3 linked regions of the Rattus norvegicus genome follow. The main gene of each other region encodes a partner of the protein of the gene in region 2 in a complex. Links are inferred from orthologs where the notes say so. Each region holds a gene or a part of one and is shown on either strand. Other genes may lie near its edges. A codon is read from its position in the direction of its gene.

Evidence for each region.
Region 1: the proteins of Kcnab2 (region 2) and Kcna1 are in contact, whole or in part, in a crystal structure (PDB 1EXB), measured with the Rattus norvegicus proteins. Residues at the interface, in NP_059000.1 of Rattus norvegicus: Met196, Tyr199, Ser200, Arg203, Glu231, Lys235, Ile236; in NP_775118.1 of Rattus norvegicus: Glu37 (codon at 2,156), Met70 (codon at 2,057), Phe73 (codon at 2,048), Asp74 (codon at 2,045), Pro75 (codon at 2,042), Leu76 (codon at 2,039), Asn78 (codon at 2,033), Tyr80 (codon at 2,027).
Region 3: the proteins of Kcnab2 (region 2) and Kcna3 are in contact, whole or in part, in a cryo-EM structure (PDB 7EJ2), measured with the Homo sapiens proteins. The link is inferred for Rattus norvegicus from reciprocal best matches to the Homo sapiens genes KCNAB2 and KCNA3. Residues at the interface, in NP_001186789.1 of Homo sapiens: Met196, Tyr199, Ser200, Arg203, Glu231, His234, Lys235, Ile236; in NP_002223.3 of Homo sapiens: Pro133, Met137, Phe140, Pro142, Leu143, Asn145, Tyr147.

Annotation. Positions count from the first base shown.
Region 1 is NC_086022.1:161,154,977-161,158,671, forward strand, and holds Kcna1 (potassium voltage-gated channel subfamily A member 1), read right to left. Parts: upstream 2,299-3,695; 5' UTR 2,265-2,298; coding exon 777-2,264; 3' UTR 553-776; downstream 1-552. UniProt on the Homo sapiens protein: Voltage-gated potassium channel that mediates transmembrane potassium transport in excitable membranes, primarily in the brain and the central nervous system, but also in the kidney.
Region 2 is NC_086023.1:168,190,760-168,194,405, reverse strand, and holds part of Kcnab2 (voltage-gated potassium channel subunit beta-2), read left to right. Parts: intron 1-945; coding exon 946-989; intron 990-1,861; coding exon 1,862-1,948; intron 1,949-2,653; coding exon of another isoform or gene 2,654-2,701; intron 2,702-3,646.
Region 3 is NC_086020.1:197,318,908-197,322,865, reverse strand, and holds Kcna3 (potassium voltage-gated channel subfamily A member 3), read right to left. Parts: upstream 2,543-3,958; 5' UTR 2,289-2,542; coding exon 711-2,288; 3' UTR 589-710; downstream 1-588.

The sequences.
Region 1 (3,695 bases), on a different chromosome or scaffold from region 2:
GTTGAGAGAACTTAGCAGCCTTACAGATGAAACAACTCATTTAATCAAGTTGCCCTTTTCTTAGAGAATAGACTGGGATTTAGGAGAACGGGGCAGATGGAAAATCCCAACAGATTGGGACCAGTAACAGATTTGCAAGGTGCTTTCTGAACCATTCTTAATGAGTCCGGATTTTGTTAGCCTTGTATGCAATTCAGTTGATCAAAATAAAAGCATTTTTCCCCCCACTGACCACTGAGGCTGTTACATGGTGTTCCACGGGGCACACTATCTGACATGTGCTGTGCAATTTGCAAAAATTTTACAGTGGAGTTCCATGCAAATTTGAATTTTTATGTTCCTAAGTGGTCATCTGATTTTTAGGTTTAAAAAAAACAAACAAAACAACTTAAGCCAAAAGATTGGAAAAACTTCAGTACAAGGAAAGCATGAGTCTTATTTCACACAGACTACTTCATGGGCAGCGTTTTAGAAAATCCTCTTTCTTTTCTCATTTTTTAAATAAAAATGAAAATAGTTGGTTATTGGGTTGGGTTGAGTTTTTATATTTTTTGTTGGGTTTTTTTTTTCTTTTTGCTTGTTTGGTTGGTTTTGTTTTTTAAATGTGATCTTGAAAGCTTCAGGTTTGCCCACCCCCCAAATTCACAATGCAACAGTGCATTGCCAGTTAAATAAAGCATTCAAAGACTACGGTTTTAGTAAAGTATCTACAGAGTGGGACAGGAGTCGCCAAGGGTTTTGTTTGGGGGCTTTTGATTGCTTGCCTGGTGCTTTTTTTAAACATCGGTCAGGAGCTTGCTCTTATTAACGCAGTTTTGATCAGTTGCGGTGCAGTTACCAGTTCTGATATTAGCCTGCCTGTAGTGGGCTATGCTATTGTTCATGTCCTCTTCGATCTCCATGTACTCAGACTTGCTGATAGTAGAGGAGCTGCGGCGGCTGAGGTCACTGTCAGAGGCTAAGTTAGGAGAACTAACATGGAGCAACTGAGCCTGCTCTTCCCCCTCAGTTTCTCGGTGGTAGAAATAGTTGAAATTGGACACAATGACAGGTACGGGCAGGGCAATTGTCAGCACACCAGCGATGGCACACAAGGAGCCCACGATCTTGCCTCCAATTGTCACAGGGTACATGTCACCGTATCCCACAGTGGTCATGGACACCACCGCCCACCAGAAAGCATCGGGGATACTGGAGAAGTGCGACTCAGCTTCTTCCGCCTCCGCAAAGTACACTGCACTAGAAAACAGTATGACGCCAATGAAGAGGAAAAAGATGAGCAGCCCTAACTCCCTCATACTAGCTTTGAGGGTCTGGCCCAGGATCTGAAGGCCCTTGGAGTGGCGGGAGAGTTTGAAGATTCTGAACACCCTTACCAAGCGGATGACCCTGAGGATGGCCAGGGAAGTGGCCTGCTCGCCCTTCTGATTCCCCTCCTGCTCAGCTATCTCTGTGCCCAGGGTAATGAAATAAGGGATGATGGCCACAATGTCGATGAAGTTCATGATGTTCTTAAAGAAGTCTGTCTTGCTGGGGCAGGCGAAGAAGCGCACCACCAGCTCAAAAGAGAACCAGATGATACACAAGGTTTCCACAATGAAGAAAGGGTCTGTGAAGATGTTAGAAGTGTAGATGACTGTGGTGTTATCGATGCGGTGAATGGTGCCCGTGAAGTCCTTGTCATCCTTCAGCTCAGGGAGAGTCTCCAGGCAAAAGATGACTATGGAGATGAGGATGACCATGACGGATACAATGGCAATAACCCGTGCAGGTCCTGAGCTCTCCGGATACTCAAAGAGCAGCCACACCTGGCGCTGGTACTCCTTCTCGGGTAGGGGGCGCTCCTCTTCCTTGATGAAGCCCTCATCTTCCCGGAACTTCTCCATGGCCTCCTCGCCCAACTCGTAAAATTTAATCTCCTCGGAGAACATGTCCAGGGGCACGTTGACCGGCCTGCGCAGGCGCCCCCCCGACTGGTAGTAATAAAGGATGGCATCGAAGCTGGGCCGGTTGCGGTCAAAGAAGTACTCATTCCTCAGAGGGTCAAAGTAGCGCATGCGTTTCTTCGGGTTGCCCAGCAGCGTGTTGGGGAACTGGGCCAGAGTCTTGAGCTGCGTCTCGAAGCGCAGCCCGGAGATGTTGATCACCACGCGCTCGCAGCATTCGTGGTCGTCGTGGTCCGCCTGCCTTGGGTAGCTGCCATCCTGGGGGTGACCTGGAGCGGCCGAAGCCTCGTCTGCATTCTCCCCTGACATCACCGTCATGATGGATGCAGGGTGCAGGGGTAGGAGGCCAGGAGAGAGCCCGGGGTGTAAAGGAGCGAGGGAGTAGGGGTGGGGGGGACCCAAACGGCCCCCCCACCGGAGAGTGAGTCTCCCCCACGCTCACAGGGAGGGGCTTCAGACCCAGAAGGTTCAGAGGTCTACAACTTTGCTAATTATCACCTCCCCTCCTCCACTCTGCCTTTTACCCAATTTGGAAACTCCTCTCGCCTAAGGGCCCCCAGTGAAGCTTTTTTTTTTTTTTTTTTGAGGTGGGGGTGCTCTGTTTTTGTGTTGGTGAATGGGTTTTTCTTCCTGATCTGATTGTCTTAACGCACACCTGCCATGACTTCGGGGCTCGCCCCGGCTCCCTTCCCCTCCTGCAGCCCTCCTAGGACCCGGTGCAGTGCCAACTCAGCAGATCCCCGGGCCTGGCACCCACTTTGCTGCTCCTTGGCTCTCCCCCCTCCTACCCCTCTTCGCCTGCCGCCTTCTAAGCTCCCACCGGGGCGATCGATGGACGCTGCGGAGAAATAAAAAGTGATACGAGGGTAGAAAATCAGAAGCATTCGGATGGGACGAACCTAAAGACACCGAAGAGCACAGACTACCACCTTTTGTAGAACACACCGGACTTTTACTGGGGTTAACACATACTCACAGACAGACACACAACAGACACCCAGAAATCCAAGTTTGGAAATCTTCCATCCCACTTTTCCCAACGCCCAACAGCCGATCTGTTTACAACTCCGTTAAACTGGAGATCGGGAAAGCGCTTAGCGATACTGGAGGAGCTGCGGGTCCTAGGCAGCAACCCCTCACCCTCAGCCTCCCCCACCCTGTCACCCCTATCTCGAATTCTGCAGCCCCGAACTAGGGAGCTTCCTACCTGGCGGACCGGCTTGGCGCAGAGGCGGTACTGAGACGGCGGAGAGTCTGAATGCGGCAGGTCGCCTTTGCAGCAGCCGGAGCGAGCAGCCGCCACCACCGCAGCAGCACGCGAGAGGCTCCGGCCCCTGGCGGTTCGCGTCCTTCTCCTCTCAGGAGTCCGATCGTTTTATCGAGCAGCTACGGAGGAAACGTCCGTACCCTACCCCCATTCTCGCACGGTGCAAGCAAACAGGAGATGCTGTCCTCTGTCTGGGGCAGAAAGTCCCGGAGGATGCGGGGTGGAAAAACAAAAAGGCCACCTTCTCCCGAGTCACCCAAGCAAATGGCGATAAGCTTCACTCTCGCCCCCTCCGAACACTACGGGAGCCCTTGATTCGATCCCGAGGGAGGCGGGCGGCTCAAAGCCTGGCTCTACATGGCTCTCGGGTAACCTGCACTCTCCGTACCACAGCACGGACCTCGTTCCGCGGCGCGCCGCGAGCCTTCAGCAGCTTGGAGTGGGGCAGGGAGCGTGTGGCCGCAGGTCCGCTCGGTCCATTT
Region 2 (3,646 bases):
GCAAGGCTGGGGCCAGGGTCACATGGTAGCCTTGAGGAGGGAGGGCATGGCAGCCTCTGCACAGCCACCCACAGGCTGGTACCCATTCAAGTCTGGGGACCACAGCCATTGACGTAATCCCAAAATGCAAGAAACTTTGGCCCAATTTGTCTGTCACTCGGACGTTGCTTAATTTTTGTTATTTCTACTTACATGGTGACATTATAAACATTCCAGAAAGCAGAAAACGGTGAACTGTCTAAACCCTCTTAAAGTCCCTGCTGGGCCACCTATACCACTCTGCCTGTTTCCAGGTGTCCGAGTCTGTACTCTCTACAGGGCAAAGGGCAAAGTTCATCTCACGGGGGTTGTAAGTGTGGTTTCTAGGCTGAGGAAGTGGCTCAGTTAGAAGAGCGTTTGCCAGACAGGCCTGAAGGCCTGGGCTCCTCATATCCCACCAGTTAAGTGCACTGGTTTCATGACTGTAATTACAGCACCTCAAAGGCAGAGGAAGCAAAAACTAAAGGCCATCCACGGCTATGCAATAAATTTGAGGCTGGCCTGGGACAAAAAACAAAACAAAACAAAACAGGAAAAGAAAAGAAAAATTTAAAACGTATATGATTCGTTCTTAACTTTAAAGAAAAAAATCTGTAACTGGGCTCACATCTGTAATCCCTGATTCTTGGGAAGCTGAGACAGAGGGATTATGAGTTTGAGGCCACCCTGAGCTAAGCAGAGAGGAACCATCTCAAAAAGCATAAACACATAAATCCAAGCTGGGCAGATGATATTGAAAGCCTCGTCCCCACACCGCCTTGGGGCAGCGTCTAGGAGCCCACCTGAGCCCGTAGTTGTCACCTGCAGATGTCGAATTTCCCGACCTGCTTTTTTCCTGGCATCGTATGATAAATAATATCCCCGAACCAACTGCAACATCTCCTACCCTGTTGGCCTATTTTTCAGGGCAGAGACCGAGAGAGGCCTTTCCCGGAAGCACATAATCGAAGGTGAGGAGGGACTCTAACCATGGTGTCCCCGGCACATGACTAAAGCTAAGAAGTGTAGTGGCTCACCCTTTTTTTTCAGTGATCCAGCCCAGGTCTCGACCCTGGGGTACACTGAGCCCTCCTTTGGCCATCCCTTTCTGCTCCAAAAAGATATGAGGTGTGGGGAGGGGACCTGCAGAGGGTGTTCCCACTGGCCAGATTTTGGGGCAGGCTGAGTATGTGCTGACTGAATGGTCTTACGGGAGAGCCAGCACCTCCCTGAGCTTGTGTCAAAGGGTCTAGAAAGCAGGGCTATGAGGGTATACCCCCGACTCAGGGCTGCTGGGAATAGCAAAATGCTGCCCAGAGTGGGGGTGACTGGATGACGGCTCTACCATCCTCGAGTCACATTTCCTCTAAGTAATATTCTTTATAACGAACATCATAATGGGGGCTTTGGTACCTGGCCCTCTCACCTCAGACCCAGCTTTCACCCTAGCTGTTGCTCCGGGCTGTTGGGAGGTCAGTGGCTTGTGTATGCCCAACACCAGCAGCCTTACGTACAGTTAGTTAATACTGCACCCTCCTTGTGTGGTACCATAGCCAGCTCTGCTAGTTGCATAGAGACCACCAGGTCCTGAGAGTGGCCCAAAGGGCATGTATCCATTTGGTCTCAGGACATTTGACCAGTAGCTCCTCTGACATCCTCTGGAATGGCCAGCATGCCCACTCCCTTTAGGATGTGCCTCATGTCTTGGCATCTCCTTGGGATACTCACCTGCCCTAAAGCTCTACATGACATGAGCCTGCCCTCACCCCTCTCTTGCCCCCTGAGCCAAGTCCAAGGGTGGGTCTAGAAACACAAACAGCTGACCCTCCTGCTCTTCTCCCAGGACTGAAAGCTTCCCTGGAGAGGCTGCAGCTGGAGTACGTGGATGTGGTTTTTGCCAACCGCCCAGACCCCAACACACCCATGGAAGGTAGGTCGACCAGTTATCCCCCTTGCCAGTTCAGGTCAACCAGTTAGCTCCCTAACCACGCAGAGCAGAACCAATTCTGAAGTTTTGGTAACTGTCAAGCACACCCACACTCAGCACTCAGGACAGAGGTGGCCAGGCCCCCGGGTTGGGGAGGGATGGCCCCAGGCACTAATCTTGTTCTGTGAACTGGTTGTGTCCAGGACTTCTCCCCTGGCTGCGTTCTCTTTGCTCAGTGGTTGGTATTTTGTGCAGCGGTGTCTGTCGGGGACCACTGAACTCTTTCATTCTGGATTCCCTGGGAGGGCTTAGAGGTCTTCTGCTCTAGTGGGGTCTCATTGCCTGAAGGAGACTGAGCACTCGGTGCTTTGAAGAGCTAGCTGTCTGGGTTTCTTTAGCGTTTATTTATCCCCTCCGATGCCCGGTCCCTCCATCTCTCCCACCCGCTGCCTCGGCATCTTCTCATTTTTGCTTCGCTGCTTCAGGGACTTGGGAGGTTAAGTTGAACTGGTTATTACGTCTCCATTTGCTTTTATATATATACTGCACTTGTGTGTGTGTGTATATATATATCTATATCTCCTTTCTTTTTAACAGAACTCTGTTCTGTGCGATGATTTGTGCCCTTCTGTCCTGCCCTTTATCATACCAGGCCTCTGTGTTCCCACAGCGATAAACTCTGGTCTCTTTAAACCTTTCTTTTATCAGCAGGGGACCCATTTAGTTCCTTCAAGTCACGGACATTCATCATTGAAGGTACACAGTACCCTCATCCGACTATTGACTCTGTGTCCGAGCTGCATTTTATGAGACAGTACTTTTATTCACGACGCTCCGTCCCCCGCCCCATGACAAACTTCTCCATAAAATGCATAAGGGGTGGGGAACGTGCCCCTGTGAGGACATCGTGCAAGCAAAGCGAAAGCAAAATGGCATCCGAGCCCCTTGTTGTCCATCCATGCTGCCATCCCCATCCCCTCCCTCCCGACGTGCATGTTTCTCCCCACCCACCCCCCCAGCTCCATGCTTGCGGTGCCGTGACCTGATGAGGCCGGCTGGCTTCCTGCCGGGGTCTTCTCTTGATCTGAGGATGCTCCTCCAGTCCCTGCCTGGGAAGTTGACCTTGGATGATATGATAGGGTTTCCAGAAGGGTCCTGTGACCCCTAAGAAGACTTAATCTATCTCATAGCTCACACTTGTTAAGCTCTAGCCTCCAACAGAGGAACAGAACACCAGCCAGCAAGATACCCTGCCTACCATGCCGGTTCCTTGTGAGTGCCCTGGCTCTGTGGTCACTCATGGCTGCTCATGTAGCAGCCAGGACACTCTATCGAAATGGAGTGATTCTCTTCCTTGGAGAATATGTACATGAGTTGGCATGGTGCCAAGGCCCAGGGCATTCTTGGGCCATGCTTGGTATCTGCCTCCCCCACAATCAGCAGAACCGTCTAGAACTGCACCTCCAAGGGTAGCCATTTGTCCCCCTAGGAGCTGGGCAACATTCCAGCTGCCTGCCACCTGGTGCTGCCACCTGACCCCTCCTATGTATTATTTGTGACGCTGCAAAGATGCCCTGGGTTTTGGCTGCAGCTGGAAGGAGCTGGCACCGCTGCTTCTGTCCAGCAGTATTAATTATTGAGGTGAAAGACTGCCGTCCCTAAGTGTCACTATTTCAGGGTCCACTGACATGTTGGAGTGCA
Region 3 (3,958 bases), on a different chromosome or scaffold from region 2:
TAGATATTGACTTGGGCATGAACTCACAACTTCATTGGAATCTGTGTCTAATGTTTTCAAAATGCTTTGCAAACTCCGAAGAGTTAATAGTCAGATCAGGACATTTGGGGCATTTCCCTTTTGGTTCAAAGTTATTGTGAACCTGAAATTCTTAGAGGGGAGATTCATACTGAAAGGCCAGTCCAAAAAAAAAATTATAGAGGGTTTACACGTCAACACTCTAGTTAGACTTTCCACCCACACATCCAGAGGTTAAGTAGTTACACTTAGTCAGGAAATAATGCTGAAAAGTCCACCGAACAGGAGCATCATTTAAGTTCTGCCTCCTTTACTTAGTAAAGAAACAACTATCTTTTGATTTTTGAGGTCACACAGTTACTCTGACTCTATAGTTTCATTTCCTCTCAGGATGTAGCTTTAGGGCTTGCACAAGAAACCAAGCTTAATGTAAGTTTGTTGTTCACAAAATTAAGAAACAGGGAGAGAGAGAGGGAGAGAGAAAAAGAGCTGAGAGAATGCAGCCCACTTGCAAAACCAGGCACCTGTTTCAGTATGAAGCAATAGGGAGAGGGAGAATGAAGTGTGCTTTTCCACTTCTTCATGTACTTTCCTTGATGAATGGTCTGGAAATGTATAAATCAAGGGCATACACAGACCAAGGGGGCATGTTCCACACAATACTGGGCACAGAATGGCAATCGTATCATCTATTAGACATCAGTGAATATCTTTTTGATGTTGACACAGGAGTTGGGATTATTGTTGGTGGTGCAAGTGGCAGTGGAGTTGCCCGTTTTGAAGGGGGTCTGGGGGAAGGCGCTGTGGTTCATACCCCCCTCTTCGATCACCATATACTCCGACTTACTCAGAGTGGAGTTACTCCGGGCTTTTCGGAGCTCCTCTGCTGAAGAGGAGAGGTGCTGGCAGCTTCCCACGTGCATGTACTGGGCTTGCTCTTCCCCTTCTGTCTCCCGGTGGTAGAAGTAATTGAAGTTGGAAACAATCACAGGAACCGGCAATGCAATGGTCAAGACACCTGCGATGGCACAAAGAGAGCCCACAATCTTGCCTCCTATGGTCACTGGGTGCATATCACCATAACCGACAGTTGTCATGGTTACCACGGCCCACCAGAAGGCATCCGGGATACTGTTAAAACCCGAAGAAGGGTCGTCTGCCTCAGCAAAGTAGACTGCACTGGAGAAAAGGATGACCCCAATGAAAAGGAAGAAAATGAGCAGCCCCAGCTCTCGCATGGAAGCCTTCAGTGTCTGTCCCAGGATCTGCAGCCCCTTAGAATGGCGGGAGAGCTTGAAGATGCGGAAGACCCTTACTAGGCGGATGACCCTCAGGATGGCCAGTGACATAGCCTGCTGCCCATTACCCTGTCGCTCAGCCAGCTCAGTGCCCAGAGTAATAAAATAAGGGATGATGGCTACAATGTCTATCAGGTTCATGATATTTCTGGAGAAGGTGGCTTTACTGGGGCAAGCAAAGAATCGCACCAGCAGCTCAAAGGAGAACCAGATGATGCACAGGGTCTCCACTACGAAGAAGGGGTCCGAGAAGCTGGAGGCTCCAGAGGAGGCCCCCGACGTGCTGTTGTTGGCAGCCTCAAACACGTCCTGCGACGGAGAGGCGGGATAGTCCTTCTCGTCGCGAAACTCGGGTAGTGTCTCCAAGCAGAAGATGACAATGGAGATGAGAATGACCAGCACTGACACGATGGCAATGCCCCGGGCCGGCCCGGAGCTCTCGGGGTATTCGAAGAGCAGCCACACCTGGCGCTGGAAGTCACGGCGGGGCAGAGGTCGCTCCTCCTCCCGCAGGAAGCCCTCGTCCTCACGGAACTTCTCCATAGCCTCCTCACCCAGTTGGTAGAAGCGGATCTCCTCGGAGAAGATGTCGATGGGCACGTTGACCGGCCGGCGGATGCGGCCCCCGGACTGGTAGTAGTAGAGGATGGCGTCGAAGCTGGGTCTGTTGCGGTCGAAGAAGTACTCATTGCGGAGCGGGTCGAAGTATCGCATGCGCCGCTTGGGGTCGCCTAGCAGCGTCTCAGGGAACTGGCAGAGGGTCTTGAGCTGTGTCTCGAAGCGCAGCCCGGAGATGTTGATGACCACGCGCTCCCCGCAGCAATCCTGCTCGCCCGCGGCGGGCAGCGCGGGCGGCAGCGGTTCGTAGCGGTCGCAGCCGCCGCCACTGACACAGCCTCCCTGAGGCGGGTCCCCGCCGCCGCCTCCCGCCGCTTCTGGCTCCAGCAGGTGGTCCCCGGGCACCACGGTCATGTCTGGCGGCAGCTCGGCGTAGCCTGGGCTCTGCAGGATGCGCGCGCCGCCGCCCGCGGGGTCCAGCGCAGGGTGGGCGCGGTGGCGGGCGGAGGGCTGCGGCGGCCGAGCGCGGGAGGCGGCGATGCTCTCCTTCCCTGCTGGCGGTGGCCAGCTCCGAGTCGCTCCTCCTGGAGCTCCCCGCCCCACCACCGCCTCTGCCCCACGAGCCCGGCCCCGCCGCCTGTTGCTGCGGCTGCCGCGAGGCTCTGTCAGGGCTGGCGCGGCCCGCCCGGCTGCACCGTCCAGACGCCTCCTCCTCCCTCCTCCGCACCCCTCCCCGCGAGGCGCGCGCCCGCCTCTCTGCCGCCGCCCCCGGGTTTCCCGCCCACTGCGCGCGCGCGCTCCGCTTTCCGCTTGCCACCCCTGTTCCTCGCCCTTCTTTTGTCACTGGGTCGCCTTCGACTTGCACCCCACTACCCAGACCCCGCGGAACCCCTACCCTGCCAGACTGGCCTTGGAGGAACCCGGCCGCCCGACCACGTTCCTGGGCTCTACTTGCTCGCCCCTGGTCAGCGCGCGTTCCCTTCCTGCGCGTGGTCGAGTCCTAATCTCAGGGCTATTAGAACCGCGCAAGGACCACACCTCAGCACTCGAAGGCCCTCCTGGTCCTTAACACTCTTTAATACTTTGTCTGGGCAGCAGGAAGGGCAAGTTCCACCAGAATAGGTAACAAAAGTCCTAAGCACGAGGGCCAGGGCTGGCTGAGCCTCCTGACCCTGAGTGTCTTGGGAGGAGGGGCTGCAAGCTAGGTTGTCTGTGCTAGTTCAGGATACTCTGGGCCCAGCATCCTGGGGTAGAAGAATGCTAGAACCTGGGTGTTGATGCTGTAAGGAAGCAGAACTGAGTTAATGGGTAACGTAGGGTCTAAAGTCTTCCCAGTAGCTTAAAAAGAGGGTCCTTAAAGGCATTCAGAGATCTCACTTTTATAATGCTAGCTCAGTGTGGGCAAGCATTATAAAATCAGGGCCAAGTTTCTGGTCAGGACAGTGGGAAAAATAAGGGGGGGGGGTGGTAACGAAAATTCACCACACCTTACTGTGTGATAAACAGGCCTGATACCTAGAGTTTACTTAATACCATGACACCTGTGTGGTAGGGAGCTTGAGGTGTGCTTTAGCTGATAATGTGGAAAAAGCCTTCATTTTGCAGATGGTGCCTCTCTTGCTTGATTTGGGCCTACAGAAAAACATTTACACCCCCTCCCCCAACTGTTTCTTCAAAGTGTACTGGTTGCTTTAAACATAATTTCTGTTCCCAAACATTTTAGCTACCCCAAGTATAAGTACCAGAGTTACAAAATTCTGTTGTTTTTCCCTTGAATCATTACTGTTGATTGCGAAAGAGGAACTATTGTCTAGACGTACACCACTCATTCTCCGAAGTGAGCTGAAAATTCAATTTGATGCAAGAGTGATTTGTTGTCATTCCTACCACCTCCCCCAACCACCAAACTCTATGGCAACGAGGGCTTGCCCAACTTCTACTGTCAGCAACTGTCAGAGCACCTTGGAAATCACGGGGACTCAGCATTTGTTTATTGTGTTGAATTCCGCAGCAAGAGATGCTTTGTATTTATTCCCGTCTGCTCCTGGGAGATACTTCTGAGTTCGGGACCCTATCGTGATCCC